Elephas maximus indicus: one gene and its partners. The protein of the gene in region 3 purifies or fractionates together with the protein of the main gene of each other region. This does not show direct contact. Links are inferred from orthologs where the notes say so. Each region holds a gene or a part of one and is shown on either strand. Other genes may lie near its edges. The genes, in order: CPSF2, CSTF2, SYMPK and CPSF4.

Region 1 (6,977 bases), on a different chromosome or scaffold from region 3:
ATAACAACAATCATAAGGATGGTACAGGACCAGCCAGTATTTCATTCTGTTGTGCATAGGGTCACTATGAGTCAGAACCAACTTGAAGGCACCTAACAAGAACAAGACATATAGTGTGAAATAACTATTATTTTATACCTAAGAAAAATGGGGCTCAAATAGCTTAAACCCAGCTATTAAATGCAGAGGTGAATTCAAATTCAAGTCCTCTCCAAAGCTCTGGCTCCTTCCTACATTATCGCACTACCTCTCTAAGAAGCCTCTCCCTGAACTGATTTTAAGTTCCAAGAGTTTCCCAAAGGCAGAGGAGGAGGAATAGGGGAGCCAGTTGTCATCATATGGAAGATAAATGCATACTAATTCAATAACAACATGGTCCAATTGTTATTTTTTGGTAAAATTCTGTACATAAAGATGAAATTTAAATATGTTCATTTGCAAATAGCCTAAAATGAATAAATCATATGCAATGGTTGAGAAGACATGACAAAACCTTATTCAGAGTAGTAGTACATTTCTGCCAACAAAAGTGCTTAGCACTAAATTTGCTTGGATCACGTAGATGGAATTTCCTGCCTCTCCTAAGACAGTGGTTCTCACACATATACAATTCTAATTCTTTAATTTCTCAAACTTTAATCAAATACCCATTATGTACCAGGCACTGGGTTAGGAAATGACCATGAAGTTAAAGTCATACGATTACTATATATTTCATAAAGGGCAGTATTACACAATGGTTTCCTTTGAATATCACTGGTCTAGAAAATTATGAGGTAAGTAAATTACAAGATAATTAAAGCATATAATTTACTCACCAATTATTTTTATATTTTTAGTTTACTGTCTACAATTGGGGTTCTCAAACTTGCCTGCACATCATATGTAGAGCCATTTTCAAAAATAGGGATTCCTTGGCCCTACCTCCACGGTGGGGCTGGAAATATCTGTAGCTGAAAGTATTCCCCAGCTGATTCTGATGTAAGTGGTACTTGGACATACAAACGTAAATGTATCCAATCTGACTTTATTTCTATAAGATGGTGGTTCTCTTGGTATTGTGCCTGCACTAAATAGTGTTATCTGCATTTAGATCTCTAAATATTATTTTGATGAATACTTACTTTTTAGTGGATACCGACCAAGTGTGCCCACCAAGTACTTACTGTCTCAACTTACTTGCTTTATAAAATTGAGCCAATCAACGATGGGGATAACAACATGTACCTTAGTCAAATAACGTAACCTTGAAAGAGGTATCAATTCTACCCTAAGCACAGCTGACTATTAGATATTATTCTGCACTTAACCAACAACAAAAAGTACTTGTTAACTCCTAGCCCAAGACTGGCTAAAATAAGCCCATGGTCACCTGTGGGCTATAAGCCATCACGGCTGGTACTTTTTTTCGGGGAGGGAAACCAGACCCTAAGGAATTGGGTTTGTCTGGCTCTACTCCCAGCAGAAGAGATAAGACAAGGCTCTGTGGCTCTTGCTGCATTTAGGCTCTTCTAGAAATCCCAGATGCCAAAGGTATCTGGGTGTATCAGGGTTGTATGCTTTCACCATATTTATTCACTCTTTATGCTGGGCAAATAACCAGAGAAGCTGGACTATATGAAGAAGAATGGGGATTCAGGATTGGAGGAAGACATTTTATTCTGATTGTACAGTTTAGAATTTAGTAGACTTTGGGAGTCGTTGCACTGAACACGCTTTGTTTTATGGAGAGTGGATAACTAGAGATGACAAAGCTTTATGGACGTAAGTGAGCTAGAACGATGGAAAGTGGACTGTAGGGAAGGGGAGCCAGGTGCTCCGGTTCTTGGGCCCAAGACATAAGTGAGCTTGATCTGATGGAGAAGGGACAAAGAGGACTGGGAACAGGCTCCAGTGAGGCAAGCCCAGGTTTTGGATAAGGGAGGATCAGCAGTAGGATGACTCAGGGGAGAAAATAAAGAACCAATTGCTGTAGGGGACATCCACACACGTGCCTGTGACATAGCTGTGTATGTGCTTTTACTAATTTGCAACCTGTCATTCTGTCATATGGCAACATTAACATACATTATCAGATATAGGCCTCTGTAACCCATTGTATTTACCATTAATATTATCCAGATGCTTACACTGTACAAGAAATTAGTGTCTTTTTTATGAGTACCTTCAAGAAAAACATTTTTTTTTTTACTTCAGATCTGAAAATAGCTATGGCTTTCCCGAAAAAAATTAATTTTTTTATCTCACGGACTGCAGGAATCATGTACCTGATCATGTATCCTTCCATACCAAAATGATCCAGTTTTTTGGGTTTTTTTTGCCCATCTCTAGCAATATGGCTGCTAACCAAAAGGCCAGCAGTTTGAATACAGCATCTGCTCCCTGCAGGGCAGCTCTACTCTGTCACTGAGTCAGAATCAATTGGACAGCAAAGGGTTCTAGCAATAGCAGACTCTTTTTATAGCACTCTGTGTCAGGCATAGTTCTTACTGTTTTTCATATGCATCAGCTCATAATCACAACACTATATTTGTATTAACTCATATAATACCCACACTGTTCCCTATGTTTTTTTAGGATGAGGAAATCCAGGACAAATGATAAAATAACTTGTCTAAGGTCACAGATGCAGTAGGTGGCAGAGCTGGGATTAGTACCCAGGCATTTTGGCTCTTGTGTCTATGCTCTTTACTTGTGTTTTACAATAAAGCAGATTTTCTCTTAGAGTAAGTATAGAGGTAAGCACTGGTATTAATTAACCACACTTTTCATTCTATCTCATTTTTCTTTAGCCCAATTTTATTCCCACTTCTTGAAAAACAAAGGAGCCCTGGTGGCACAGTGGTTAAGAGTTTGGCTGCTAACCAAAAGGCAGCAGTTCGAATCCACCCGCCGCTCCTTTGGAAACCCTATGGGGCAGTTCTACCCTGTCCTGTATGGTCGCTATGAGTCAGAAGCGACTCGACGGCAACAGGTTTGGTTTTGGTTATGGTTAAAAACAAAAGTTGTATCTAGTATTTTTTGTATGTCACTAAAGATATTTATTTTTTAAGAAATAATATTCTACTCTCTAACTGGTTTTTACAGCCCTTTATATGTAGTATTCACAAAGTGCCGACTTAACCTCGAGAATGTGAACTCGAGATATGGAGCACTATCTTAATGGCATACACAACCTAGAAACCAAAAGCAAATTAAATACTGAGTTTTTAAAAAGTAAAAGGGTAAGTGCCTATTTTGTGAAAGAGAGTGAGAACAGCTTCCAATCCTAACTAACGACAATGGCCAAATCTGAGATGGTCGCAGAGGCACTCCACCCGTACTTCCGTCTCGGCATAGAACCCTGGCCCGCTTCGGTCTTCAGCCAGCGAGGGGGAGGTCACTGGGTGATCTCTCAAGACGTTTCCGGCCTTTATGACATTTATGACAGTCTCAGAGCTCCCCTTCCAAAAGCTGCCAGGCGGAGAACGTGAACGTAGGCGTCCATCAGAAGAAGAGGTCGTCGCTCGGAAGCCCGGCCGCTCCCGCCCCGGAGAGACTCAGCCACCCCACTACCACCAACCCCATCACCGCCAAGGGCTGTCATAGAAGACACCCCTACTGATATAGCACAACCGTGACCCGGCACGCACCCACCTGCGGTACCAACAACGATCCCAAGACCAAGGGCAGCCGCGAGCTCAGCAGCCTGCGCCGGCGGAAGCTGCAACGTCGGGCTCTACCATTTCCCGCTTCCGCACGGAAGAGAGGGGGTAGCATCTGGAAGTCATACCCCTTCTTCCTTTTCGCATGTGACTCTTCTCACATTTATTTCAGCTTTCAAACATAATGAATAATTTTGAAATAGAATTTCAGCCCAAGGTGACGAGACTTGTTGGTGTAAGTGCCTTCTCCTTCCTAGAGTTTCGTTCCCCCCCCAGAGATGGTATAATCCTGAGTCTCCCCGGCCTCAGCCGTTCCCCTCCAGTTCCAAGATGGCGGCCGCCGCTGAGGGGCTTCTGTCGGCGGATCGTCACAGTTGCTGTTGAGCGGGCACCACTTTTTCTAGCTCTCGAACCTGGATTCGACTAGGGGTTGGGAAGGGCAGTGGACGGCGTTGGGGGAGGACTGACGAGGCAAGTGAGGGCAAAAGAAAGGAGTGAGCCTTTGGATGAGGGAGGGGGCGTCCTCGGCCCTCAGGGAGAGCCTGGCCCCAACTCCGACCCAGCCTCCCTCGGGGACGTGCTCCCGGAGTTTCGGTTGAGCCAGTCCTGGTCGCTCCTGGCAGAAGCGCTCGGCGAGGGAACGAGAAGTGATTTCTTCGTGGGTCTGAAAGTGGCGGCTCCTTTGTGTCAGGCTGTGCCATTCACTCCCGTGCCTCCTTCTGGCGCTGCCTCTCCTCTGTCTGGGGCGCTGGAGGCGTTCATCCGGCGCCACGGTTAGCTCTTCCTCCGCGTGGCTACGGTGTTGTCAGCCTCCTCGCTCGGAGTCTTCCCGTCGTGTCGGGACGAGAGACTACGAGTCTGCTAAGCACTGGGCACGAAGTAGGCGTCCTTTTAGTTAACTGACTCCGAAGTTCTTAAAGATATTACTGCGCTTTCTTAATTGTCTCGGCCCTCCACCGTCCCCGACCGCTTTCACTCCTATCATTTCAGTATTTTAAGACCTCATTCTTTTTGACTTTGTGTGATTTTAACATGCTCTTTAGAAAACAGGAGGTCACGGGCAAGTCTGGCCTCCTGTGATCAGCCACACCTGAGTTACCATTTACTTATCCCCTGGATTTTCATTTACAGTCCCTTTGATCCTGTTGTGAAGCCACTGCTCTTCTGAAATTGACCAGAAAGAGACTTTCGCACCCCATGAGTTCCAGTACTAACCCGAACTCACCCCTTTGTTTTTTTCTGTGGATTTTGCATAGTTCCCCTTAGTCGTCATTTTCAGCATACAAGGTCGTTATTGAGAGAGCAAGTAACTGATACATATTTGGGATGAAGTCGTATCGACCAAATTCACAGCACTGAAGGCATTTATGATCTTGTGAGGATTCTTTTAGCGCACATTTGTGTTGTTTTGGGCACTGTGCTTGGTCTTGGAGAGAAAAGACAAACACTTTTACTCCTCTGTGCATTCAGTTTCATTCAACAAATGTTTTTTGTGCCTACTTTGTGCTAGGTAAAAATAACTAGTCTTTCCTGGGTGGCAAGGAGCTAATATTCCACTTTTGTGGTGAGGGGTCAAGAGGAATTTCTGAAACTCCAGGGGAGGCCATTCCTGGAAAAGTAACAAGTACAGGGATACAGAGACTTGAGAAGTTTTAGGTACTTAGAGTGGGGCAATAAATGTACTTGAACATGCAGTTCAAGGGTGGTTGGTGAAGGAAGAGGTAGGTTATCAATTCGTGAAGGGCCTTGATTTCCACCTTAGGACTTTAGGTTTTATTCAATAGTTAACAGGAATCCCATGGATCTTTTGTGCAAGGAGGGGACATGAAAATATTTGTTTTTGAGGATAGTCTCTCTGACAGTTGTGTGGAGGATCAACCTGGAACAGGGAAACTAAATGAGAGAAAGTTGCAGTTATTCAGGTAAGGTAATAGTAAATGCCTCAATTGTAGGGCAGTAAAAATATGAGGAGCCCTGCTGGTACAGTGGTTAAGCGCTCAGCTGCTAATTGAAAGGTCAGCAGTTTGAACCCACCAGCCACTCTGAAGGAGAAAGAAGTGGCATCGTGTGTCCATAAAGATTTACACCCTGGAAACCTTACGGGGCAGTTATACTACTCTGTCCAGAATTGACTCGGCAGCATCGGGTTTGGGTTATTTTTTTCTGATTAAGAATATAAGAGACATTTCTGAAGTGTCAATTTGATGGTAGGAGAGTGACTCCAGAGTTTTAGTCTGTGAGCCTAAGTCGTTGGTGATACCATTAAAGTCAAGTCTAAAATGTGTACATAAAAATAGAACGGTGCCGACCTGCACTTCAGCAGTGGCGGAGAACAGTGCCCAGCAGTCTCTGGCATTGACTTCAGTGTCTAGAGTCTAGACCTGCTCTGTGACAGAAGGCATATGTAGGTAGCTTTTGAGCACCAGAAACGTGGTTGGTTCAGATTGAGATGTGCTGTAAGTATAAATACACACTGGATTTTGAAGGCAGTAAAGACAAAAACAAAAAAAGTAAAATATTTCATTAATGATTTTTAAATAATACATGTGGAAATGATAATGTTTTGAATATATTGGGGTAAACAAATCTCTTTCACCTGTTTCTTTTCCTTTTCAATGTGGCTATGAAAAAAATCTTAAGCTGCATGTCGCTTGTGTTATATTTCTGTTGGACAGAGCTACTAGTCAAGACTAATGATGGGCAAATTGGTAACTGTAAAAAACCAAACCCGTTGCCATTGAATTGAATCTGGGCCTTGAGATGATGATGGTGAGCAGCGATGTCTGGGCAGTTTGCTGAAGTCCTCAGTTGCCAGCTAAGGCATTAGTTTTGTTTTTTTCAAGCAGTAAGAAGCCTTCAGAGATCTCTGAGCAAGGGGTAGTATGTGCAGGAGTCTTTCTGAAGGTTTAATTGGCAGCAGTGTTTAGGTAGAGATGAAGGGAGGAAAGGCTGGAGGCAGAGAAACAGAGAAACCTAAGTGTGAGGTAGAGAGGCCCTGCATTAAGGTACTGAGAGTAGGAACGGGAAGGGAGTGGTACACGTGCAAGGCATTTTGGGGGGAAAAACAATCAGAGGTTGATGACAGACTATCCAAGAAGAAGTAAAGGGAGGAATAAAAGATATAGAGTTTCAAGACTCAGTTGCTTAGATAATGACTCATGAATTGAGGTCAAAGAATTGTAAAAAAGTACATACGAGGCTTGGTTGCTCAGTGCTTAAGAGCTTGGTTGCTAACTAAAAGGTCGGCAGTTCAAATCCACTAGTTGCTCCTTGGAAGCCCGTCTCCACTTCTATAAGGTTGCTGTGAGTTAGAATCGACTCCACAGCAATGGG
Region 2 (7,651 bases), on a different chromosome or scaffold from region 3:
CAATAAGGCAAGAAAAACAAATAAAGGGCACCCAAATTGGAAAGAAAGAAATAAAACTCTCCCTATTCGCAGATGATATGATCCTATACATAGAGAACCCCAAAGATTTGACAAGAAAACTTCTGGAACTAATAGAAAGACTCAAAAGACTAGCAGGATACAAGATCAACATACAAAAATCAGTTGGATTCCTATACACCAACAAAGAGAACTTCAAAAATGAAATCAGGAAAGCAATACCATTTATAATAGCCCCTAAAAAGATAAAATACTTGGGAATAAATCTAACCAGGGATGTAAAAGGCCTATACAAAGAAAACTACAAAACACCATTGCAAGAAACCAAAAGAGACCTACATAAATGGAAAAACATACCATGTTCATGAATAGGAAGACTCAAATGTCAATCTTACCCAAAGCGATCTACAGATATAATGCAATTCTGATCCAAATATCAATAGCATTCTTTAAGGAGATGAAAAAACTAATCGCCAAGTTTATATGGAAAGGAAAGAGGCCCCAGAAGATAATGCATTATTGAAGAAAAGGAACAACGTAGGAGGCGTCGCACTACCTGATTTCAGAACCTACTATACAGCCACGGTAGTCGTAACAGCCTGAGACTCGTCCAACAACAGAAATATACTTGAATGGAACAGAATTCACAAGCCAGTTGTAAATCCATCCACCTATGGTCAGCTGATCTTTGATAAAAGGACCAAAGTCTACTAAATGGGGAAAAGACAGTCTATAACAAACGGTGCTGCCAAAACTGGATGTTCATCTGTTAAAAAAAGGAAAACAGGGCCATACCTCACGCCATACACAAAAACTAACCCAAAATGGGCCAAAGACCTAAATATAGAACCTAAAGCAATAAAGATCATGGAAGAAAAAATAGAGACAACACTAAGGGCCCGAATAAACACTAAGGGCCCGAATACATAGCATAAATTCAGTATAAACCATAACTAACAATGCACAAGCAGCACAAGATAATCTAGAAAACTGGGAGCTCTTAAAAATTAAACACTTATGCTCATCAAGAGTAAAAAGAGAACCTTCAAACTAGAAAAAATTTTTTGGCTACGACATATCCAACAAGGGTCTAATCACTAAAATTTATAGAATACTTCGATGCCTCAATAACAAAAAAACAAATAACCCAATTTAAAAAATGGGCAAAGGAGATGAACAGACACTTCACCAAAGAAGACATTCACCTGGCTAACAGACACATGAGGAAATGCTCATGATCATTAGCCATTACAGAAATGCAAATCAAAACTACAATGAGATACCATCTCACCCCGACATTACTGGCACAAAAAAAAAAAACAGAAAATAACAAATGTTGGAGAAGTTGCAGGGAGATTGGAACTCTTACGCACTGCTGGTGGGAATGTAAAATGGTACAACCACTATGGAAAAAGATATGGCGCCACCTTAAAAAGCTAGAAATAGAAATAGTGCAGTCCCACTCCTAGGAATATATCCTACAGCAAGGACCTACACGCACACATTCTTCATATAGTCCAGCTTCTCAGAGTATTCGCTCAGCGTACGGATGGAATAAGTATGGTGAAAGGGTACAAGCCTGATACACGCCTTTCCTGATTTTAAACCAATCAGCATCCCCCTGTTCTGTTTGAATGAATACCTCTTGGTCTGTGTACATGTTCCTGCAGTATGATGGATTGCTTTTGTGTGGCCTTTCTTGCCATGGTCTTATAACTCCCACCCAGGTGATTGGGTGGGACTGTGTGATAGGGTAATTGTGGCCCTCCAAAGCAATTGGTCAGTTTTGCCATCCTGCTGGGCTTGAAATGAGCCACTCCAAAGGCGGGAAAGAGGATCCCAGCGCCACCAAGGAAGAACAGCCAGGAGCCAGCTCTGGACCCATGATCCCTGTGCTGAGAAGCTCCCGGAAGCAGGAGCCGAGAGAGAGAGAGAGAGCTATAACCCTGAAGATGGTGAGAAGCGGTGGCAGAAGAGAAGCAGTGGAAGGAGAGACCTCACAGCAGATGTCACCACGGTCTTCCTGACCCACAGAGAGAGAAAGCTGAGCGCCTTTGGGCAGGGGCCTAGCACAGGGAGAGGTGTGCATGTGAACATGGCTGGGAAGAGGCTTTCCTGATGGAAGAACTGTATCCTTGAGTTTTCCTGAGTCTGAATTATAATCTGTTACTTCCTAAATAAACCCCATAATCATGAGTATGGTCTGTGAGTTCTTTGTAGCCATTGCATTGAATTATCAAACCCAGCAGAAAAGTAGAGAGTTTTGTGGGAGGGATGGTTGGTGTCAGAATTGGTAAAGATGGCAGAGAGAGGAGGCATGCCTGACCCCCACCTCATAGGAATCAGCCTTGGACTGTTGATCTTGGTTCTCCTTCCTCCTGGTGAAATTTGAGGAGGTTAGACACTGTCCTCACACTATTTTTGCAGTTCCTCATGAGCACAATTAAGTGTTCCGGAACTTCCATTCTCCAAAATGTTATTCATAATTTGTTATGATCCATACAGTCTTTGCATAGTCAATAAAACACAGGTAAAATCTTTGTGGCATTCTCTGCTTTCAGCCAAGATTTATCTGACAGCAGCAATGATATCCCTCATTCTACATCCTCTTCTGAATCCAGCTTGAATTTCTGGCAGTTCCTTGTTGATGTACTGCTGCAACCGTTTTTGACTTACCTTCAGCAAAATTTTACTTGTGTGCAATATTAATGTTATTGTTTGATAATTTCTGCATTTGGTTGGATCACCTTTCTTTGGAATAGCCATAAATATGGATGTCTTCTAGTCAGTTGGCCAGGTATCTGTCTTCCAAATTTCTTGGCATAGACAATGAGCACTCACAGCATAGCATCTGCTTGCTGAAACATCTCAATTGGTATTAGCTTTTATTATTACTAATTCATTGGTATCACCTGCACAGTTATAAGAAGGCTGAAGTATAAGTTATCTATGCAATGCGAGCAATGCAACAGGATCTTCAGATCCAGGATCCATTTTGGTCTAGTATTGCTGATACTAACAAGGGTATTAAATTTTCAGTGTTTCTCAAGGGGAGAGAGTTGGCATCAGGTAGGGGGAGGGATTCATTGTATAGGGCTGTGCTGGACTTAGAAATACATCTATTATCTCTGGTTCCCTCCCCCCACAAGTAATAGCACTCCCTCAGCCATTACAATAACCAGTCTGATACACTTCCAAGCACCTTCCTCCACAAAAGGGTAGTTCTAGGTTGAAAACTAATGTAAGGGCAATTTTATAAGAAAGCATCATTAAATGTTGCCATAAAGCTACCTCAATAGGTACAATGCGGTCCAAATTACTTGACCCTAACAATCAAGGGCAGTTGATTAAAAATAATTATTCTCAGATTCCTCCCCTAGAATCCCATTCCGTAGGCCTGGGGTGGAGATCCAGGAATTTCTACTCTTCAGCACCCAAGGTGAGCCTTTTGCTCATTCAAGTTTGGGAAACACTAGGTGAGAAAGATACTGAGCCACACACGCATTTATACAAAGTTCACCACACTGGGACAATGGCTCGCCAAAGCTCTTTGAAATCTTGTTTGGAACTATTTTATAACACAAGGTGTTTTCTTGATCACACAGTAATTGCAAGTGGGAATCTGGAGTCATGGGAGAACTCTTCCAAAACTTTTTATTTTGGCTCATATTATTACTTTAAATGACATGCTCCACGGTGTAAAGTAGCTTCATTTATTTTTACCAAATATTCCTCATACTTCAAGCAAGGATCTACACACACACACACACACACACACACTTCTAATCTATCTGGGATTAATAAAACGTCCTTGTCTCAAATTCTGTAGATATTTTAGCATCTCTGCCTTCTTTTTTCGGACAAAAAGTCCGTCAAAGAGAGTGCTCTTGATTCCTTCCTCCAACCCTGGCAGGCTGTCTTCCTGTGAGGTGGCAACTAGTCCTGCATGCCATATTCCAGGAGCGCAAGCACCAGAATTTGGTACCAATGGTCAATGATGCTTTATGTTGTTTACAATCCCCTGCCTGTCAGTGTTCTCTCCCCTCGCCCCCTACCACCACCAAGCATATAGAGCCCAGGGACTACACGAGAGCAGACACGGGACTGTTCTCCTTTTAACTCTCCAACTCCTCAGCTATCTTGGCAACTTGGCGTTAAGCGCCCCTCCTTCTCTTCGCTGGCAAAAGTCTCTTCCCTAAGCTCACTCTGTACACTCGCAACTTTAGCAAAATGACAGCAGACACGCTTCTGAGGCGGGGCAAGCATTTCCCTCCCTTAATAAGGCGGAACTAAAATGAAAGTGTGCCGGTTGTTGGTAAATGAGCTCCCTGTTACCATGGTAAAAACCGCTGCTGCCATCTTTATTGTGGTCGATGATACCTCGACTTAAGAGATAATGAGTAACAACAAGAATTCTACAGACTAAAACCTTCAAAGTCGCCTGGATCCGCCATCTAGACCAGAACGATATTATCTGGCGGTAGCCAGACGACGAAGGCGTTGTGCCACTCACGGCCCTAACGAGAGCTTGCGGATGACGGAACGACGCCTGGGGACGGGCTCTGCGTCCGCCGGCCCAGGAGCTTCCGGCTCACGCGCCGTACGGAAGCGAGTTCCGCGCTGGGCTCACGCGCCGTACGGAAGTGTGTTTAGCGCACCGGAAGCCGCCTGAAGAGAGCGATGGCGGGTTTGACTGTGAGGGACCCTGCGGTGGATCGTTCACTACGTTCTGTGTTCGGTGAGAGGAATTCGGTGGAGCCCAGCGTCTGGGAAGGGCAGGAAGAGGCAGGGAACGGCGAGGAACGCCCCCTGCAACTCTCCCACCTCATGAACCGGAGCCGGTGATAGGTCGGGCGTCGAGCTCTACCTGCTTATCCTGTGGGCGGTCAATCTGGTAGATTTGTAAGCAAACAGATGCTTCCCGTACCGCGATGTCCCGCAGCCTTTCTGCGATATTGTTGAGGGAGTTAGGCGAGCGTTCAGCTTCTATGCGTTTCTCCTTTCACGAGCTTCAGTTATTATCTGGAAGCGAGAGCGCATGGCGACAGTCCCTCACTGTCCCGTACTACCTGCTCACCCCCTATTCCAGAATGCAAATTAAATGCTGAGGGGGTAGATCCCTATGTCCACTTTCCGCCCTCTGATAAGGATTTTCTTTCTCTGCTTTTTACCGGTAACATTGCAGTTCATCATAGTGGTAGCGGCCACCTGGTGTCCTGAGGTGGATTATAAATAAATGAATGAATGAATGAATGAATGAATAAGACCTCGTCGAAGGAATTCTGAAGAGGATTGAATCTATTCTGAGTAAATTTTTCGGCCGAAATAAGTTGTTTTTCAAAGCATGTGTGGTGATTTTAAAGCACTTTTTGAAAAGGAACTTGACAAAACAATTTAGAATAATTTTTAAATATACTCCACTGCATTCTTGGACTTTCCTAAGTGTGTGTGTGTGTGTGTGGAAATGCAGACATTTGAGCTTGTTATAAAAATTATATTTTCAGTAGTTACCAACACCCAAACTCATTGCTGTCAAGTAAATTTGGGCTCATAGCGACCCTATAGGACAGAGTAGAACTGCCTCACAGGGTTTCCAAGGAGCAGCTGGTGGATTCAAACTGCTGATCTTTTGGTTAGCAGCTGAGCTCTTAACCACTGCACCACCAGAGCTCCATTTTTCATAGTGAGAAATAACACTTGCAGACTTTCAGGAAAATACCTATGCCTTAGTATTTATTTTCACTGAAGTTAAGGAAAATCTAACACTTGTCATATAAGTCTGAAAACTAACATTTAGGAGTGCCTACACCTTTTTTGGAAACCCCGGTGGCGTAGTGGTTAAGAGCTACGGCTGCTAACCACAGGTCAGCAGTCCAAATCCACAGGCTCTCCTTGGAAGCTCTATGGGGCAGTTCTACTCTGTCCTATAGGGTTGCTGTGAGTTGGAATCGACTCGACAGCAATGGATTTGGTTTGGTACACCTTTTATTGAGTTTCCTCGGTGGTTTACTTCATTTTTGTCAGCAGATAAGATTGGAATCTCGTCTGAAGGAGTTCCGTGGAGCAAGGATTTGAAGAACACTGTATTTTGAGCCAATTGTTACATACCCAGTGATATAAGTAGATAATGTACTGTTTACATTTTCACTAAAGACCTAGGTTACAAACTCAGGATTTTAATATGTCACGTATTTTTTTCCTTAGTGGGGAACATTCCTTATGAAGCTACTGAAGAACAGTTAAAGGACATCTTTTCTGAGGTTGGACCTGTTGTTAGTTTCAGGTGAGGTCCCCTTCTTTTGCCTCTTAGTAGGGGGTTTCTTCTTAAAAATTGCCACAAATTTGGCCATTAGGAATAATGAGAAGTTTTTTTTTTTTTTACTGGTGATGTTTTACATGCATTCTTTTTTTTTTTTAGGGCAGCTTTACTGAGGTATAATTCACATACCATACAATTCACATGCATTCTTATCTAAGAGATATATATATTTTTTTTTCATTTAAAAAAATGCTTAAAAAGATTTTAGTGAGGCAAAGTCAGAATTGTAAAGTTTTATCCTATGGTTGGCCAAATTAGAGAGTGGAAATGCTAGCAAGAACCCTGTATTTGTAACATTTGTGTCCGATTATTTGTAACATTTGTGTCCGATACTTGGTTCTGTTCACCAGGTTGGTATATGACAGAGAGACAGGAAAACCAAAAGGTTATGGCTTCTGTGAGTACCAAGACCAGGAGACGGCCCTGAGTGCCATGCGGAACCTGAATGGGCGTGAATTCAGTGGTAGAGCACTTAGAGTAGATAATGCTGCTAGTGAGAAGAACAAAGAAGAGCTGAAGAGTAAGTATAAATTCAGGTTTTATGAAATACAGGTTAGTAAAAATGTAACAGTGAAAAATTTCCATTTAGAGTGTATTCTAGAATATGCTGGAGTAGTTAGCGACACAATTTCTTTATTTGATTGACTTGAGGAGCCTGAGTTATGGAAGTAAATATCTTTGAGAAAGAAGGTAGAGTTGACATTGAGAGTCCTTCAGTTGCCAAGAGGGGAATTGATTTCCAGCTAGAGGTGAAGTTATTCAGGCTCACCAAGCCATCAGTAGGTGCGAATCATGTTGTTAGCATTTGCCACTCATATGACTATATTGTCAGATCTATAACTGGTGGGGTAATAAGGCATTCTTGTGTTTTTTACTGTGAAGTAATAGATCCAGAAATCCCATTTTTAAATTAACATCTTTTTTCTGTTTAAACCTTTTGCTAGTGCAGCGTTTTGTCAAAAGTTCATATGCCTAGTTTCCTACCTTAGTTTAACTTTGTCCATCTATGTGATCATGGTCCCCTTTTTCCTCTGAGAACAGAAAATACACTCTGTTACTTGCCTCCACAGAAAGAAAAGATTAGCAAATCACTTATTTGACAGTTCCGGAGAATTTTTAAGTTATCAACTGGTCCTTATGGTAGCCCTGGAAAATAGATACTTGAAGTGATTTAGCCCTTTATCTTATCTCCTTAACTTTCTTGTACTTTATTCCTGACCAGGCCTTGGCACCGGTGCCCCTGTCATTGAGTCACCTTATGGAGAGACCATCAGTCCTGAGGATGCCCCTGAGTCCATTAGCAAAGCAGTTGCC
Region 3 (7,111 bases):
GCTTTCTGTCTCTCTCCCCCACTCCCCTGCCACCTCCCATCTCTTTCTCCCTCAGAACATCTTGGTATCTGTCTCCTTCCCTCAGCATCACCATTGCCCCAAAAGTTCAACACTGAAACCGGAGCCAAAGTTACTTCCCTCTTCCACCCACTGTGTCCCCCTGGTTGGCTGGCTCTGCCCCCTCCCCAGAATAAGGAAGGCGGGTCCTTCAGAGATGAAAGGAGGCAATGAATTCAGTGGGATCCAGAGAGAGTTGGGGAGGGATTTCTAAGTCCTTTTGCCACCCGCCCCCCCCCCACCAATTCTCTAACTCAGCTAAGTTCTTGTATAGCAGAGTAAGACAGACTGAGACCCTAGGGCCCTCCTTTACTGGCTTTCCCACCCACCAGGAAGTCCTCCTTTAGGTCTGACCTCAAGCTCTGTAGTTGCCCTAATCCACCCTAGGCTTTCCCACGCCCCAGGGCTGAGGTGAAGCCCGGTGTCCGGGTCTAAGCCGGATCTCCCCCGCCAGGGTGGGGCTGAGATGGGGGGAAGCCCTCAGGGGACCTGCACCCCCACTGCAGGAGGCTAGAATTTCTTCCCTTTCATTTCCTTATTGTTCCTGAGGGAGGGTGTGACGGGAGCAGAGGTAGGCAGTGCAAAGCCAGAAGCCTAGTGTCCAGTCCCTGGCCCAGCCCTGGGCTTCAAGCAGCCCCCAACACTCCTCTGGGCTTCAATTTTCCATCTCTAAAATGGGGGAGCAGTGGATCAGCTGATCTCTAAGAACCTGAGGCCAGTAGGGGTGGACCAGGGGTGATAACTTTCCAAACTCTCTTGACAGGGAGCCAGCCTGGGGGTATCAACATCACCCCAGCAGGAAGAGGTGGTTTGAGGACCCTGTTGGTTGCTGGGTGAGTGTAGGTATTTCTGGCCCCATTGTTCCGGCCCAGAGGGAAGGAGGTGGGTTAATCTGATGGGAGGGTTTGGGGAGACTCCCAGACAGTACCCTCCAAACCATTTCCAGCTACCCATATGTGGACTCTTCTAAAATATGCCCCCAAACTGTCCCCAAATGTTGATCCCCTCTGGATTGTCCTTCAATTTCTGAGTTATCTAGACTGTCCGTGCAAATTGTTCCCCTAAACTTGGATCCATCCAGACTGCATCCCAAATATTGATTCCCCCAGCATAGACTCGCCCACAAACTACTTCTAAGATGTGCCCCCAAAACACTGATTAGTGGATGGTCCTCTTAAGCCAAATGCCTAGACTCTGAGCTCTCCAGGAGGCCCGGCTAGAATCCCCCCACTAGCCAGGAGCCTCCACTTCCCACCCTGGTCTCCACCTTTCCCATCTCACCACTGACACCTCTAGCTGCCCCGCCTCTACCTCTCAACACTCCCAGCCCCTTCCCCAGCTGGCCCTTCCCTATCCCACGTGCACTTCACACCTCCACTGCCCCATGACTGGCCCCTCCTAGGCACACTGCCAGGCCCCACAGGTCTGGGGATCCAGGAGACCCACCCTACAGCTTCAAACCCCAGACCCAGGACTCAGGCATGCTGGGGCCCACATAACCCCCAGATCTCAGTCTCCCTGGAAAACTCAGCCATTCCAGCCTCACATCCCCACCTCAAGCTTGCAGTTTCCTTCCAGGTTAGGAACACAAGCATCCAGACCCCGTAACTCTCAGACTAGGATCCCCTACTCCCAGGTCTCACAATATGGACTATAAAAAAAACCCAATGCCGTCCAGTCGATTCCGACTCATAGTGACCCTATAGGACAGAGCAGAACTGCCACACAGAGTTTCCAAGGAGGGCCTGGTGGATTCCAACTGCCAAACTTTTGATTAGCAGGCGTAGTTCTTAACCACTATGCCACCAGGATTTCCATGTGGACTATAGAGTGAGTAAAGAAAGCAGCAGGAATCCTTGCAACAAGGGGAACAGTAGTTAGACTTGGAGAAGGACTTCTTGTCTCCTGGCCTGAGGGAATTAGGATAAACCCCCACCCACAAATCCAAGGAGGCCTTGTCTAAAATCAGACTGGATGAGGACATTAGCAATTGCTGGAGGTTGCTGGGGGGCAGGGATAATCTGAAACCCTCCACCCTCCAAAGAGGGGAGTCCCTGCTAAAGGACTCTAATAGCAGTTAAGTTCAGCTGGGAGGGGCTGCGAGTCCTGGGGAAGGATGGGAGGATGGAGATTGAAACACACCCTCTAAATACCCGCAAAGGTGATGCCCACATCTATCCGAGCCCCAACTCTAACCTGTCTGTTATCTCGGACCCCCAAAAGAAAGCTTCATCTCTGAACACCCCCATCTCGTACTCCTGAGTGCCAACCACTATTCCTGGCCCTATCTTAGATGGCCACCTTGATCCTCATTCCTGAACCCCCAACTTTACCACCATATTCTAAACCTGAGCTCCCACCTCCAAAACCTATTGTCGTCCAATCGATTCGGACTCATAGTGACCCTATAGGACAAAGTAGAACTGTCCAATAGGGTTTCCAAGGCTGTAATCTTTACAGGAGCAAATGGCCAGCCAGGTCTTTTCTCCCGCGAGGCAGCTGGTGGGTTCAAACCTCAGGCCTTTCCATCAGCAGCAGCAGCTGAACGCTTAACCACTGCGCCATCAGGACTCCTTGCTCCCACCGCAAACCTCCCTTAGTGGTTTCTCCCTACCCCCAGCTCATTATCTTTCCTCCAACTTTGAACCCCATTTCCTAATTCTTCAACTCTGTCCGCTACCCTGGAGCTCGGATTCCTATCTTTGGTTTGTTCATTTTAATCCCTGGGATTTCGGGTCCCCAAAACCCAGCCTTCACGTTTAAACTATGACCTGACCTTTGCCTACGTTTTCCTGACTCTTATTTGAGCCCTCACCCCGGCTCGCCTGCCGAAGCCGCGAGTCCATGCCTTGTCCCCTGTCCCGGATTCGCACACCTGGTTTTCGTGTCCCCCGTTCCTTGTCTCCCCAGTTAGATGCCCCGGTCCCGTTTGAGCCCACGCGCCTATCCCTGTCCCCATTTAAACCCACACCCGGGTGCCTGCCCCCCACTTCCCGCTCCGTCATCCCCGAGGACACACCTCGCCCGCCTCGGGGTAGTAGCTCCACTCGGCCAGGTCATGGGCCTCCATCTTCACCGAGCCCAGCATCCCCGGGGCCTGCGCCCCCACCCGCTCCCGTTCCGGTCCCGGGGGAACGGAACACTTCAGATCGCTCAGCAGGAACGGCCCGACTCCGAACGGCGCCTGCCCGTCCGACTGCCCGGGGTCCCCGCCGTCCCGGGCGCCGCGGGAGGCGGCCACGCTTTATAGCCGGGACACCCCCGCCCCTCGCCCGCCCCGGACTGCCCTCCCGCCTCCCCGAGGGCGGTGCGCTCGGCCTGGGGCGCCCCCTGCGGGACTGCGAGGAGAGAGACCTCAGGCGCCGGGGACCGCATTCCGGGGACGCGAGAGCAGGAGATGGCTGAAGAGTGAGGGAGCTGCCGGGGTGAGACCCTGCTGATATTAAAGGCCCCGAAGGTACAGCTCTGGAGCACTTCTACCCGAGGGGGAGGGACATGTTCATCACCTCGACAAAAGAGAACCAATATCCAGAGCCCAGCATGGCAACGGCGGAGGAAAGGGGCGCAGCGCGCAGGGCGCTCTAGGGGTACCGATGTACCACTATCAGGACCCTTAGCAGAGCCTGGAAAGCGCACTCCCAATGTACAGATGAGAATACTGAGGCTTCCGACGGCTGGAAATGTTCAGACTGGAAAGAAAGGGTCAGGGCTAAGGATGGGGAAACCGGGCCTCTGATCATACCACACTAGGACAACAGACCACCTCGAAGCTTCGCCTCCGGGATTCTTTAAGCTCTCCAACCCCGCCGTCCAGGGACTCGGAACCACTGGGAACTCCATTTCCCAGAAGCCTCTAGCTCCCTTTCCGCCCTGTGCCTCTACCAAGGGACTACATTTCCCGGAAGCCTGTGAGGGGCGGTCTCAGGGCACTCTGGGGAAGTGAGGAAGGCCGCTCGCGCCGCACGAGGTAAGGGCGGGGTCGGGGCGGTCTGGACTCCATTTCCCGGCAGCCCTGCGTGCGCAGCGCGTGCGCAGTGTCACGGCGGCGAGGGAAAGATGGCGTCGGTGGCGTCTGTGAGGAGGCGCTGCTGAGGGGGCGCGAGGGGGACGGAGGCCGGAGCCGCGGTGAGCGGGGGACGGCCTGGGGGCCGGGGAACGAAGGGAGGAGGGGCCCTCAGGAGGCGGGGGCGCTGGGGGGCCGCGACAGGAGAGGGGAGCAGTGGCGTTCGGGACCCTTGTTTCTTCCCCTGCTCAGCACCCTTCCGTGGCTCCCCAGTGCCCTCAGGGCAAAGTTCCAATGTGGCCCCCAAAGCGCGCCCGCCCCGCCGACCTCGCCGGCTTCCTCGCTGCCTTTTTGCTCACCCCCCACCTCTCACAGCTGCACCGGCTTTTCGGTTCCTCAAACTTGCCGTGCAGCTCCCCGCCTCATGGCTTTTGCACATGCTGACCCTTCTGCCCGCAGTACCCTTTTACCCATTCTGCCTGGCTAATTCCCATTCATCCTTTGGGGCCGGGCGCAAACGTCACTTCCCCTGCGTAGCACTCCTGGGGAGGATTTTGGGTCGACTTTGAATGAGATGTGGGAGTGACAGGCAGCAGGGAGCATAGGCAAGAGGCTGTTTACTCAGTTTACTTATGTGGTGCTGCTCTAACAAATGCCACAAATGGATGGCTTTAACAAAGAGAAATTTATTTTGTCCCAGTCTAAGAGGCTAGAAGTCCGAGTTGAGGGCGCCAGCTCCAGGCTTTCTTTTTCTGTCTGTTCTAGGGAAAGGTCCTTGTCATTAATCTTCACCTGGTCTAGTAGCTTCTCAACCCAGGGACCCACTCCCTTTCTGGTTCTTCATTCTTGATGCCATGAGGTCCTTCTGTCTCTTTGCTTGCTTCTCTGTCTTTTATATCTCCAAAGAGGTTGACTCAGAAGACAACCTAATCCTGTAGATTGAGTCCTGCCTCATTAACATCATAGAGATAGGATTTACAATGCATAGGAAAATCACATCAGATCACGAAATGGTGGACAGTTGCACAATACTGGGAATCACGGCCTAGCCCAGTTGACACACGTTTTTGGGGAACACAATTCAATCCATAACTGTAGTCATTCATTCAGCAGACATCTATCAAATAGCTACTCTGTACAGTACATAATGTTCCTTTTTAAAAACGTATCTTTTTTGCCCTCCCTAAATTCTGTTCCCCTGAGGTGATTATTGCTAATGGTTTGTGGACTGTTTTTCAGCTCTTTTCCCGTGTAGGTAACAATAGCCATACTCATCTAACATTTACTACATATACTAAGAATAGCCTTGGCAGTCAGGCACTGTTACCATCCCCGTTGTACAGAGATAGAAACTGAGACCCAGAGAGATTAAGTTTCTTACCTCAGGTTATTCTGTGAATACACACGCAGAAGCTTGGCAGAAATGGATTGAATTGCACGTACTGTTTTGTGACACAGCAGACTGTCGTAGACATCCTGTCCTGATAGTACATGAGATCCGCCACTTTTTTTTTTTACTGTTTTCTCCCACTTACGGTTTTTGGTTTGTCTTTTCAGTTTGTTGTTTGTTTGCTTTTTTGTATGTATATATGTATATATTTGTTTTTATAGAAGTGGAGCATATGGTGATAAACACCACCTTCCTCTTTACTTCCTTTAACTTAATATAACACAGGAGTCTGCTCCCCATCAGTGTATAAAGATTTTCTTTATTTCTTTCTTTTTCCTCTTAGTCCTTTTTCCAGTGGCATAGTATTTATCATGTGGTTGTATCATAATTTTTCAACCAGTTCCATTATTTAAGAACGTGTGGGTTGTTTCTGGCCTTTTGCTATTACGAATAGAGCTGTCATCGAGATCCTTCTACACTAATCATTTTATGATATTACCAGTATAACTTTGGGATGTTATTGCTAGCGGCCGTCCAGTCAGTCTCCAACTCATGCTAACCCCACACACAATGGAACAAAATCCTGCCTGGTCCTGGCCACACACACGATTGGCTGGGAATCGGACTGTTGTGATCTGTAGGGTTTCCGCTGGCTGATTTTCAGAAGTAGATAGCCAGGCCTTTCTCTCTGGTTCGTCTTAGTTTGGAAGCTCCACCAAAACCTGTTCAGCATCTTGACAACACATAAGCTTCCACAGACAGGCAGGTGATAGCTGCGCATGAGGTGCACTGACTGGGTATCAAACCCAGGTCTCGCTCATGGAAGGCTAGAATCCTATCACTGAGCCACCACTGTCCAAAAGTCCCCCCTCCCCTCCCAGCTCCATAGTATTCCAGAGAATAGCTGTAATATAACCTCTTTAACTAGGGCTTTTCTGATGTATCGGGTACCGACTGTGGGCAGGGCTGCTCCATGATTGGAGTTCCTCAGAGCTTTGTTTGAGAAAGTCAGGAAGCATGGAGACCAGTAAGGTGGCTTCTGTGGTTCATTTGGCATCCAGCCATTCAGCAGATGTTCTGGTCTGCTTGCTGTATATAAAGTACTGGAGCTGGAACTTGGGGACCTGCCTCTGACCTGGAAGTCCATCAGGGAAGGCGAGTGACATCAGTCTCCCCCAGATTACAACCACCATGCACACGTACATGTAGTCTGGAGTAGGCCGGGACTTTGGAAGGCAGGACAAGGAAAGGACAGGCTGGGGAAGTGGGTTGAGCCCTGTGTTGGTGATGGGGTGTAGGTCAGCTTGACCCATCCCCTTCTTCCCCAGGGGATACCTGACAGCAGCCATGGCGAGCAGCAGTGGGGACAGTGTTACCCGCCGGAGTGTGGCCTCTCAGTTTTTCACACAAGAGGAGGGAGCAGGCATTGATGGCATGACCACCTCAGAAAGGGTGAGTGTGGAGAGAAGGGCTCGGAGTTGGGATGCACAGCCCTGGCTTTCGGCGGGCCACCCCCACCCCCAGATCACAGAGCCTTGGGAGTGCCAATGGGCTAGGCTGGCAAGGCCAGCACCACCCCCTGCCTTTCTTTCCCCTCTAGGTGGTGGATCTCCTGAACCAGGCAGCACTGATCACCAATGACTCAAAGATCACAGTGCTCA
Region 4 (7,477 bases), on a different chromosome or scaffold from region 3:
AAAAAATACTAAACTTACTGGTCTGGCACAGACTGGAAAAACCCCAAGAGTATGGCCCCTGGACACCCTCACAGCTCAGTACTTAAGTCACTCCTGAGGTTCACCCCCAGCCAAAGATTAGACAGGTCCATAAAACAAACAACAATACGCATAGCTCAAGCATGTACATGAGACTAAATGGGCACACCAACCCAGGAACAAGGATGAGAAGGCAGGAGGGGACAAGAAAGCTGGACAAATGAAATGGGGAACCGAAGGTCAAGAACGGGTATTGACATGTCGCGGGGTTGGCAACCAATGTCGCAAAACAATACGTGTATTAATTGTTTAACAAGAAACTAATTTGTTCTGTAAACCTTCATGTAAAGCACAAAAACATCACCCACTGAAAATCCTGTGGAGCACAGTTCTACACGGACACACGTAGGATCACCATGAGTTGCGGTCAACTCGACAGTGCCTGGTTTAGTTTAACATTTCTGTCTCTCAGCAGACATTTTACAGTTGCTGAACATCCACCGACGGCAGCCCTAAAGCCCACTTCCATCCTCTCCTCGCTAACTTGCAGCAGATTCCTTGGCTTGTCCAGGACAGGCAGATCTTGCTAGTACAGTACAGGCTTAACACTGCAGAAAACGGGTCTCAAGGGAGACACTTTTTGTGTTTTAATAACTTTGAAGAGTCTGACATCAAAAACTCTGCATTTAAGGGCATTTCTGGGCCTTTGTGGTTTTCAGAGGTAAAGGCTTCATTCCTGAAAGCTAGAAATCCGTTCCTGGGACTGGGTCTCAGGCAGATGGATAAAAGATCACACCTTAGTGCAGGGCTGACAGCTCTTCCCCAGTATGAGGGGGAATGCCGTGCAGGCACGGACGGAGGTGGAGCCATGGCCTCACTGGATAGTCAGAGGGGGCTTTAACATGCTGAATGCCATCACAGACGGGCCAAAAACCAAAACCAAACCTGTTGCCACTGAGCTGATTCCAACTCCGAGCGACGCTATGTGACAGAGCAGAACTGCCCTGTATGGTTTCCAAGGCTGTAATCTTTATAGAAGCACATCTTTCTCCCATGGAACAGCTGGTAGGTTCAAACCGCACACCTTACTGTTAGCAGCTGAGTGCTCAACCACTGCACCACCAGGGCTCCTTCACGTATAGGCCGTGAGTACTAAAGGCACCTAGCAGGTCTGAGTCCCTGAACTAGGCAGCAGCCATGGCTGGGCAGAGACCGGACCTGTCCCTGGCCCACCCTAGGACAGGTACGTGGGCCCCTCACCGCTGTGCCTGCCCTCACAGACTCTCAGATCTGTGGTGTAGCTGGAGAAGGGTGGGGGAAAGAGCTGCCCCACACAGATGTTTCCACGGCCTCAAGCTGGTGTCATCAAGACAGAAAAGGTGTGGATGTGCGCGTGCACATAGGACGTGATCCCATGTCGAAGCGTAGGTAAGAGGGTGCGTGTGTCTGAGTTCGAGCGGCTGCTTTTAAGAGGTGTCCCACAGCGGTAGTGTTTGCACACGTACAAAGTGTGGCTGTCTGGCACAGGTGTCTCCAGGAGAAGCACTCTGTGGCACAGAACGATCAGCATGTGTGGGACAGAGGATCTCTGACTCAGAAGGTGACCTCTGAATGGCCACCTGAGGGGAGCGAGGCTGTAGGGATGTCCCCCACGGATAAGTGGGAGGACAAGGCCGCAGTACTCTGGCAGTGATGGGAGACCGAATGGGAAACTGAAGAGAAGGGGTGAGAAACGCCGGAACCCTCCCCTGGCTCTGCCACATCGCACTGTGTGGTCTTGGGCAAGTCCCCTCCCCCAGCCAGACCTCCGCTTCCCGATCTGTGGATTGAATCAGTAACCTCCAAGAGTTCTCTGAGTCTTAATATTATAGCATTAAATTTCCAGTATGCCCAGAAAGGTGAGGAGAGCAAAAAACGGTCAGTTCCTCTTGAGGTACAAACTATCCCGCCGGAGTTGGGGGAGAGGAAGCACTGGAGAGCCGGAGCCGCCCAGAGAAGGGGGACAGTGAAAGGAGATCAGACTGGCCAACATGAAGGGTCTGTACCAGAAGCCTGGGTGTAATGAAGGAACCAGAAAAAAGTGGGGGGCGGGCCCGGAATGAGGGATGGGCTCTGGGGAGGAGGTAGGCTTCAGAGACGGGTTTGGGGGATCTCCTAGGGAGAGGGGGGAGGTGGCCCTTCCCTCAGTAAGCCCCCTCCAAGGGCCCAATGTTTTGATGAAAATAAGAGAGTGCTCAGTGGGAGGTGGGCTCCTGGGGAAGGGGTGTCTTCTAGTGCCTTCCTGTAGTTGAGGGAGCGTTGGGGCTATTTCCAAGTCATGGAGAACCTGCCTTTGTTCAAGAATTATTTGGTCAGGCAGCACCCTGCTCTCCTGCAGATGACTTTAGGACAGCCCCAGGGGATGAGAGAGCCGAAGGAGGAGGACTCCTGGGCCCAGGTGGGAGAGAGAAGGGGGTCCCAGAACCAGGGGGAAAGAGGTCTCGGGACCGAGGGGGAGAGGGACCACGCGACCAAGCGAGAGGAGGAGCCCCAGGCCCAGGAGATCCCGTGACCGAGGTGGAAAGAGTCCCGGGACGAGGAGAGAGAGATCCCGAGACTCAGCGGGAGGGGGTCCTGAAACCAGGGGGAGGGGAACGAGGGGAAGGGAGCCCGGAGCCAAGGGGAGCAGTCCCGAGACAAGGGCGGAGAGGACCCGGGATCCTGGAGGAGGGGTCCTGGGTCCGAGGTGGTCCGCCCGGCGGCCCCGGCCCCGCACTCACTGTCCATGCCGGGGAAGGGCAGCGGCTGCGCCCCGAGCTGCTGCTCCACTGCGATCTCCAAGTCGAACTTGATGTGGTCCACACTGGCGATGATCTCCTGCATGGTGGCGGCGGCCTGCCGGCCCGGCTCCCACTCGACTCTCCAGCCGCTCACTCGCCCACCCGCCGCGGTCCCGCCGCACACGCGCCTTAGCCGCCACAGCCGCCGCCCGGGGCATGCCGGGAGCACAGCCCGCCGGCCGGGGCTTCACATGTCCAGACCGGGCCAATCGAGCGCGGAGCACGAGCCGCTCCGCGAGACCCGTTTAGTCGCCAGCCGAGCGCTCCCTCGCCTCGCGGCCTCGGAAATCGTAAAACTGCGCGCCGATCTCGCGACGCTGACGGCGTCTGTGCAAGGCCGGGCCGAGGCTTGCGACTCCGGGACGGAGAGCTAGGTGAGCGGCGGGGCGAGGCGGGAGCGACGCGGGCCGGGACCGGGAGACGCGGGGGGACGGGACGGGGAGCGACGCGGGGCGGGGACCGAGGAGGGGGCCGGGGCGAACCGGTACCGGGCCGAGGCGGGGACAGGACGACTGGCGACGCGGGGGCGGGGAACGTCCCATGAGGAACCCGAGGCCCTGAAGGCCTTTGTGGAGAGCGGTGGTAGTTGGCCAGAGGTCCCGTAGGCGTCTGGGGGTCGGTAGGTCCCTCCGAGGGAGAGCAGCGGCCGCGTGTCCCCAGTACAGGAATTATTAACCTGGGATCACTGTACTTGTAGGGAGAAGGTGACCCCGGTGATTTCTCTTTGTGAAATTTAGCATTTCTTTCCATGACGGAGGCAACAGACCAAAGTAGCGTATGCAGCGTCAGAGACTTTGTTATTTCAAAGCCGTGGTGTTAAATACTGTGGGAGATACCTGTAACCGCCACGTGGTGATACCTGAGCTGACAGTTGCCCTCGCGCCCCTTTGACCTTGGCATTTAATGTGCTGAAAAAGAAGCGTATATTCTGGAGCCATGGGTGGCGCACGAACCCCCAAAACTTTGCCCTGAGATAATCTTTAAACCTTGAAGTCTTCTCAAAACCAAACAGTAGTTGATTAATCAATAAAAAATGTCTGCCTTGACATGGATTGGACTGGACAATGGGTTGGAGAGAGATGCTGATGTGAGGAGTGAGCTACTTGCATCGGGGAGGGGAGATGGGAGGGTAGAGGGGGTCAGAAACTGGCAAAACGGTCACAAAAGGAGAGATTGGAAGGAGGGAGAGTAAGTGGGAGTATGTAGTAAGGTGTATACAAGTTTATATGTGAGAGACTGACTTGTAAACTTTCACTTAAAACAATAAAAATTATTTTTAAAAAATGTCTGCCTTAAGCATTATGTTCTTTTAAGATCTTTTAACTTGACATGCAAATCCAGTGCTTTCGAGTCGATTCCAACTCATAGCAACCCTATAGGACAGAGTAGAGCTGCCCTGTAGAGTTTCCAAGGAGCAGCTAGCGGATTCAAACTGCCAACCCTTTGGTTAGCTGCCCTAGCGCTTAACCACTATGCCACCAGGGTTTCCAAGTTGACATCAGCAACACTAAAGATTAGATAGGAACCTTAGGGGCAGCGAATTTATATTAATGGGGGAGGAACAACTTAGAAATGGAGGGTTGCACAACTCAAAAAACGTTATTTATGTCACTGGATTGTATATGTTGAAGGGTGTATCTTTTGCTGTGTATACTCTTAACAAAAAATAAAATTATAGGAAAAAGAAGCATATATGCTAGTATAGCATATTTGTTTTTTTTTTACCCTAGAAAATAAAACATAGTAATTTTACAACTCATTTCATGACAACTGGTTGATAATCACAGAATTTCTCTTGTTCATGCCCTCTTTAGCCCTGGTTCTTTTCAAGTTACTGCGCTAGTTATACTGTTATTTTTTCTGAAGTTTGCACAAAGATAACTAGATTCAGGGCCGTTCCCCACACAAGATGGTTGTATGGTAAATTAGACTTGGTTTGCTATCAGCCTGTGTAAAAGCCCTGGTGGCACAAATAGATGAGTGCTCAGCTGCTAACTGAAAGGTTGGCGGTTTGAACCTACCCAGCGGTTCTGTGGGAGGGAGACCTGGCCATCTGCTTCTGTAAAGATTACCTATTTAAAAAAAAAAAAAAAAGTTGCTACTGAGTTGATTCCGACTCAGCAACTTGGCCTAGAAAACCCTGTGGGCCAGTTCTACTCTCACATGGGGCCGCTGCAAGTCAAAAATTGACTCGAAGGCTCCTGACAACAACAGGGGAAGTACTAGGTTTAGGAACACATGTGTAGTCTTAATACAGTTGACCCTGCCCTGATTATCACAATATCAGGACAGCAAATACCTTCGTTTTAAAACATTTTTAGTGCATATTTTTTGATTCCATGTATTTTAATGAATGGATGTGAACACGTGATTCCGAGGAGTCCTTGGTTTCATCAGATGCTGAATTCAGGCCACCCTGGTGGCGCAGTGGTTAAGAGCTTGGCTGCTAACCAAAAGGTTGGCCATTTGAATCCACCAGCTGCTCCTTGGAAACCCTATGAGGCAGTTCTACTTTGTCCTATAGGATTGCTATGAGTCGGAATTGACTCGATGGTAATTTTTTTTTTTTCTTCCTGTGGTGGTCAGGTTCCTGGGTGGCGCAAATGGTTTGCACTCAGCTACTCATCGGAGTACAGCCAGAATGCTCCTTAGAAGTGAAGATGGCTCATGTACTTTGGAAGTGTTATCAGGAGGTACCAGTCCTTGCAGAAGGACATCATGCTTGGTAAACTAGAAGGGCAGCAAAAAAGAGGAAGACCCTCAACCAGATGGATTGACACAGTGGCTACAACAGTGGGCTTAAACACAGCAATGGTTGTGAGTGGTACAGTACAGGGTAGTGTTCTGTTCTTTTGTATGTAGGGTTGCTATGACTTGGAACCAACTTGACAACAACTAATCGAAAGGCTGATGTTTTGAACCTGCCCAGCGGCACTGCAGGAGAAAGGCCTGGCAATCTGCTTCCATAAAGCTCACAGCAAAGAAAACTCTAGGGAGCCGTCTTATTCATAAAATATGGGTTGCCATGAGTTGGAATTGACTTGATGGCAGTGGGTTTGGTTTTGAGGTTTTTCTGGCGGTGGTCCAGAGAGGCTGTCTAATATATTGCATGGACCTGAGGTCAAAGCCAGTCCAGCCTGTGTGCAGGCCCAGCTCACCCACAGCCCTGTTGGGGGACCTGGGCAGTCTGTTCCTATTGCTGTGCCTCAGATCTTAACCTGTTCAACCTACCATCCCTTCTGAGGTCCAGTGTTGACCTTCTAATATAACTAGACCTTGAAAATTTTCATGCCGGTGGTTCTGGTGTTTTCTATGGAAGTGTTTTTATTTTGTTGTTGTGGTTGTTTTATATATGTATATATACGTGTACGTCCACATATGTATACATTCTCAAAAAAGCCAAACCCAGTGCCGTCGAGTCGATTCCGACTCATAGTGACCCTATAGGGCAGAGTAGAACTGCCCCCATAGAGTTTCCAAGGAGCACCTGGTGGATTCGAACTGCCGACCCTTTGGTTAGCAGCCATAGCACTTAACCACTATGCCACCAGGGTTTCTGTATGTAAATGTATACATATATGTATATTTGTATGTGTATGTATTGTATGTGTGTGAAAATATATATAACGCAATGCACACTCATTCAGCATTTTCTGCCTGTACAGTTCCGTGACGTTGGGTATACTCTTTGCCTTGTATCATCAGTCTTGCTCTCTGTACTCATATTGTTTCACAACCAGTAACTTAAACTCTCTGTTTCCTAAACTTCTCTGTTTTTGAGTTACTGTTGTCAGTTTGATCTCATATAGGTATTTCTTTCAAAGAATGCACTGCTCAAAGCAGCATTCTTTACTGGTTGATCTAAACTGTTGTTTAGTTTGAAGATGACTTCATGGAATAGTTTTGGTTCACAGTTTAAAGGTTATCTTAGGGCAATAGATTCGGGGGCTCCCCCTGTCCCCGTGGGTCTAATAAGTCTGGTTCCTCTAAGAATTTGAAATTCTGTTCTGTATTTTTCCTCTGTTTGATCGGGATTTATCTATTGGGTTCTTGAGCAAAATGTTCAGTAATGGTGTTCGGGTACCATCCCGTTCTTCTGGTCTCATGGCAGTGGAGGTTGTAGTTCACGGAGGCAATTAGACCTGCAGTCCATTGCCTTCTGTTTCCTGGGTCTTCTTCTTCCTCTGCCGCCCCAGGCAGATAGAGACCAATCATTGTATGTTGGATGGCCACTCAGAAGACCTCAGGCACTACCTGCCAAACTAGGAGGTAGAAAGACTCTAAAAACAGTTATTAGGCCAATTGACTGGACAGACCCTCAAAACCGTGACCCTAAACCTTATGAAAGGGTTTTAAAGTAGTCAGGCTAGATTCTAACCCAGTGCTGACCAATAAAAACACGTTAACACCTATGTAATTTAAAATTTCTAAGTTATTGTCTCTGTTAGGTGCTGTTGAGTCAGTTCCAACTCATAGTGACCTTACGTAGAACAGAAACACCGCGCAGTCCTGCACCATCCTTACAATCATTGCTGTGTTTGAGCCCGTTATTGCAGCCACTGTGTCAGTTCATCTGGAAAGGGTCATCCTCTTTGCCGCTGACCCTCTACGTTACCGGGTGTGATGTCCTTCTCCAGGGA

What was found.
Region 1: the proteins of SYMPK (region 3) and CPSF2 purify together in Homo sapiens (co-immunoprecipitation; 8 studies listed by BioGRID and IntAct, with this or other methods). This does not show direct contact. The link is inferred for Elephas maximus indicus from reciprocal best matches to the Homo sapiens genes SYMPK and CPSF2.
Region 2: the proteins of SYMPK (region 3) and CSTF2 purify together in Homo sapiens (affinity purification with mass spectrometry; 4 studies listed by BioGRID and IntAct, with this or other methods). This does not show direct contact. The link is inferred for Elephas maximus indicus from reciprocal best matches to the Homo sapiens genes SYMPK and CSTF2.
Region 4: the proteins of SYMPK (region 3) and CPSF4 purify together in Homo sapiens (affinity purification with mass spectrometry; 4 studies listed by BioGRID and IntAct, counting the BioPlex papers as one, with this or other methods). This does not show direct contact. The link is inferred for Elephas maximus indicus from reciprocal best matches to the Homo sapiens genes SYMPK and CPSF4.

Annotation. Positions count from the first base shown.
Region 1 is NC_064828.1:105,689,962-105,696,938, forward strand, and holds the start of CPSF2 (cleavage and polyadenylation specificity factor subunit 2), read left to right. Parts: upstream 1-3,958; 5' UTR 3,959-4,523; intron 4,524-6,977. UniProt on the Homo sapiens protein: Component of the cleavage and polyadenylation specificity factor (CPSF) complex that play a key role in pre-mRNA 3'-end formation, recognizing the AAUAAA signal sequence and interacting with poly(A) polymerase and other factors to bring about cleavage and poly(A) addition.
Region 2 is NC_064846.1:57,411,822-57,419,472, reverse strand, and holds the start of CSTF2 (cleavage stimulation factor subunit 2), read left to right. Parts: upstream 1-4,641; 5' UTR 4,642-4,698; coding exon 4,699-4,756; intron 4,757-6,222; coding exon 6,223-6,301; intron 6,302-6,687; coding exon 6,688-6,857; intron 6,858-7,559; coding exon 7,560-7,651. UniProt on the Homo sapiens protein: One of the multiple factors required for polyadenylation and 3'-end cleavage of mammalian pre-mRNAs. This subunit is directly involved in the binding to pre-mRNAs.
Region 3 is NC_064829.1:103,799,472-103,806,582, forward strand, and holds the start of SYMPK (symplekin), read left to right. Parts: upstream 1-4,097; 5' UTR 4,098-4,182; intron 4,183-6,748; exon of another isoform or gene 6,749-6,778; 5' UTR 6,779-6,797; coding exon 6,798-6,902; intron 6,903-7,050; coding exon 7,051-7,111. Other genes in the region: FOXA3 (hepatocyte nuclear factor 3-gamma), read right to left, coding at 3,077-3,145. UniProt on the Homo sapiens protein: Scaffold protein that functions as a component of a multimolecular complex involved in histone mRNA 3'-end processing. Specific component of the tight junction (TJ) plaque, but might not be an exclusively junctional component. May have a house-keeping rule.
Region 4 is NC_064830.1:102,872,816-102,880,292, reverse strand, and holds the start of CPSF4 (cleavage and polyadenylation specificity factor subunit 4), read right to left. Parts: upstream 3,004-7,477; 5' UTR 2,881-3,003; coding exon 2,778-2,880; intron 1-2,777. UniProt on the Homo sapiens protein: Component of the cleavage and polyadenylation specificity factor (CPSF) complex that play a key role in pre-mRNA 3'-end formation, recognizing the AAUAAA signal sequence and interacting with poly(A) polymerase and other factors to bring about cleavage and poly(A) addition.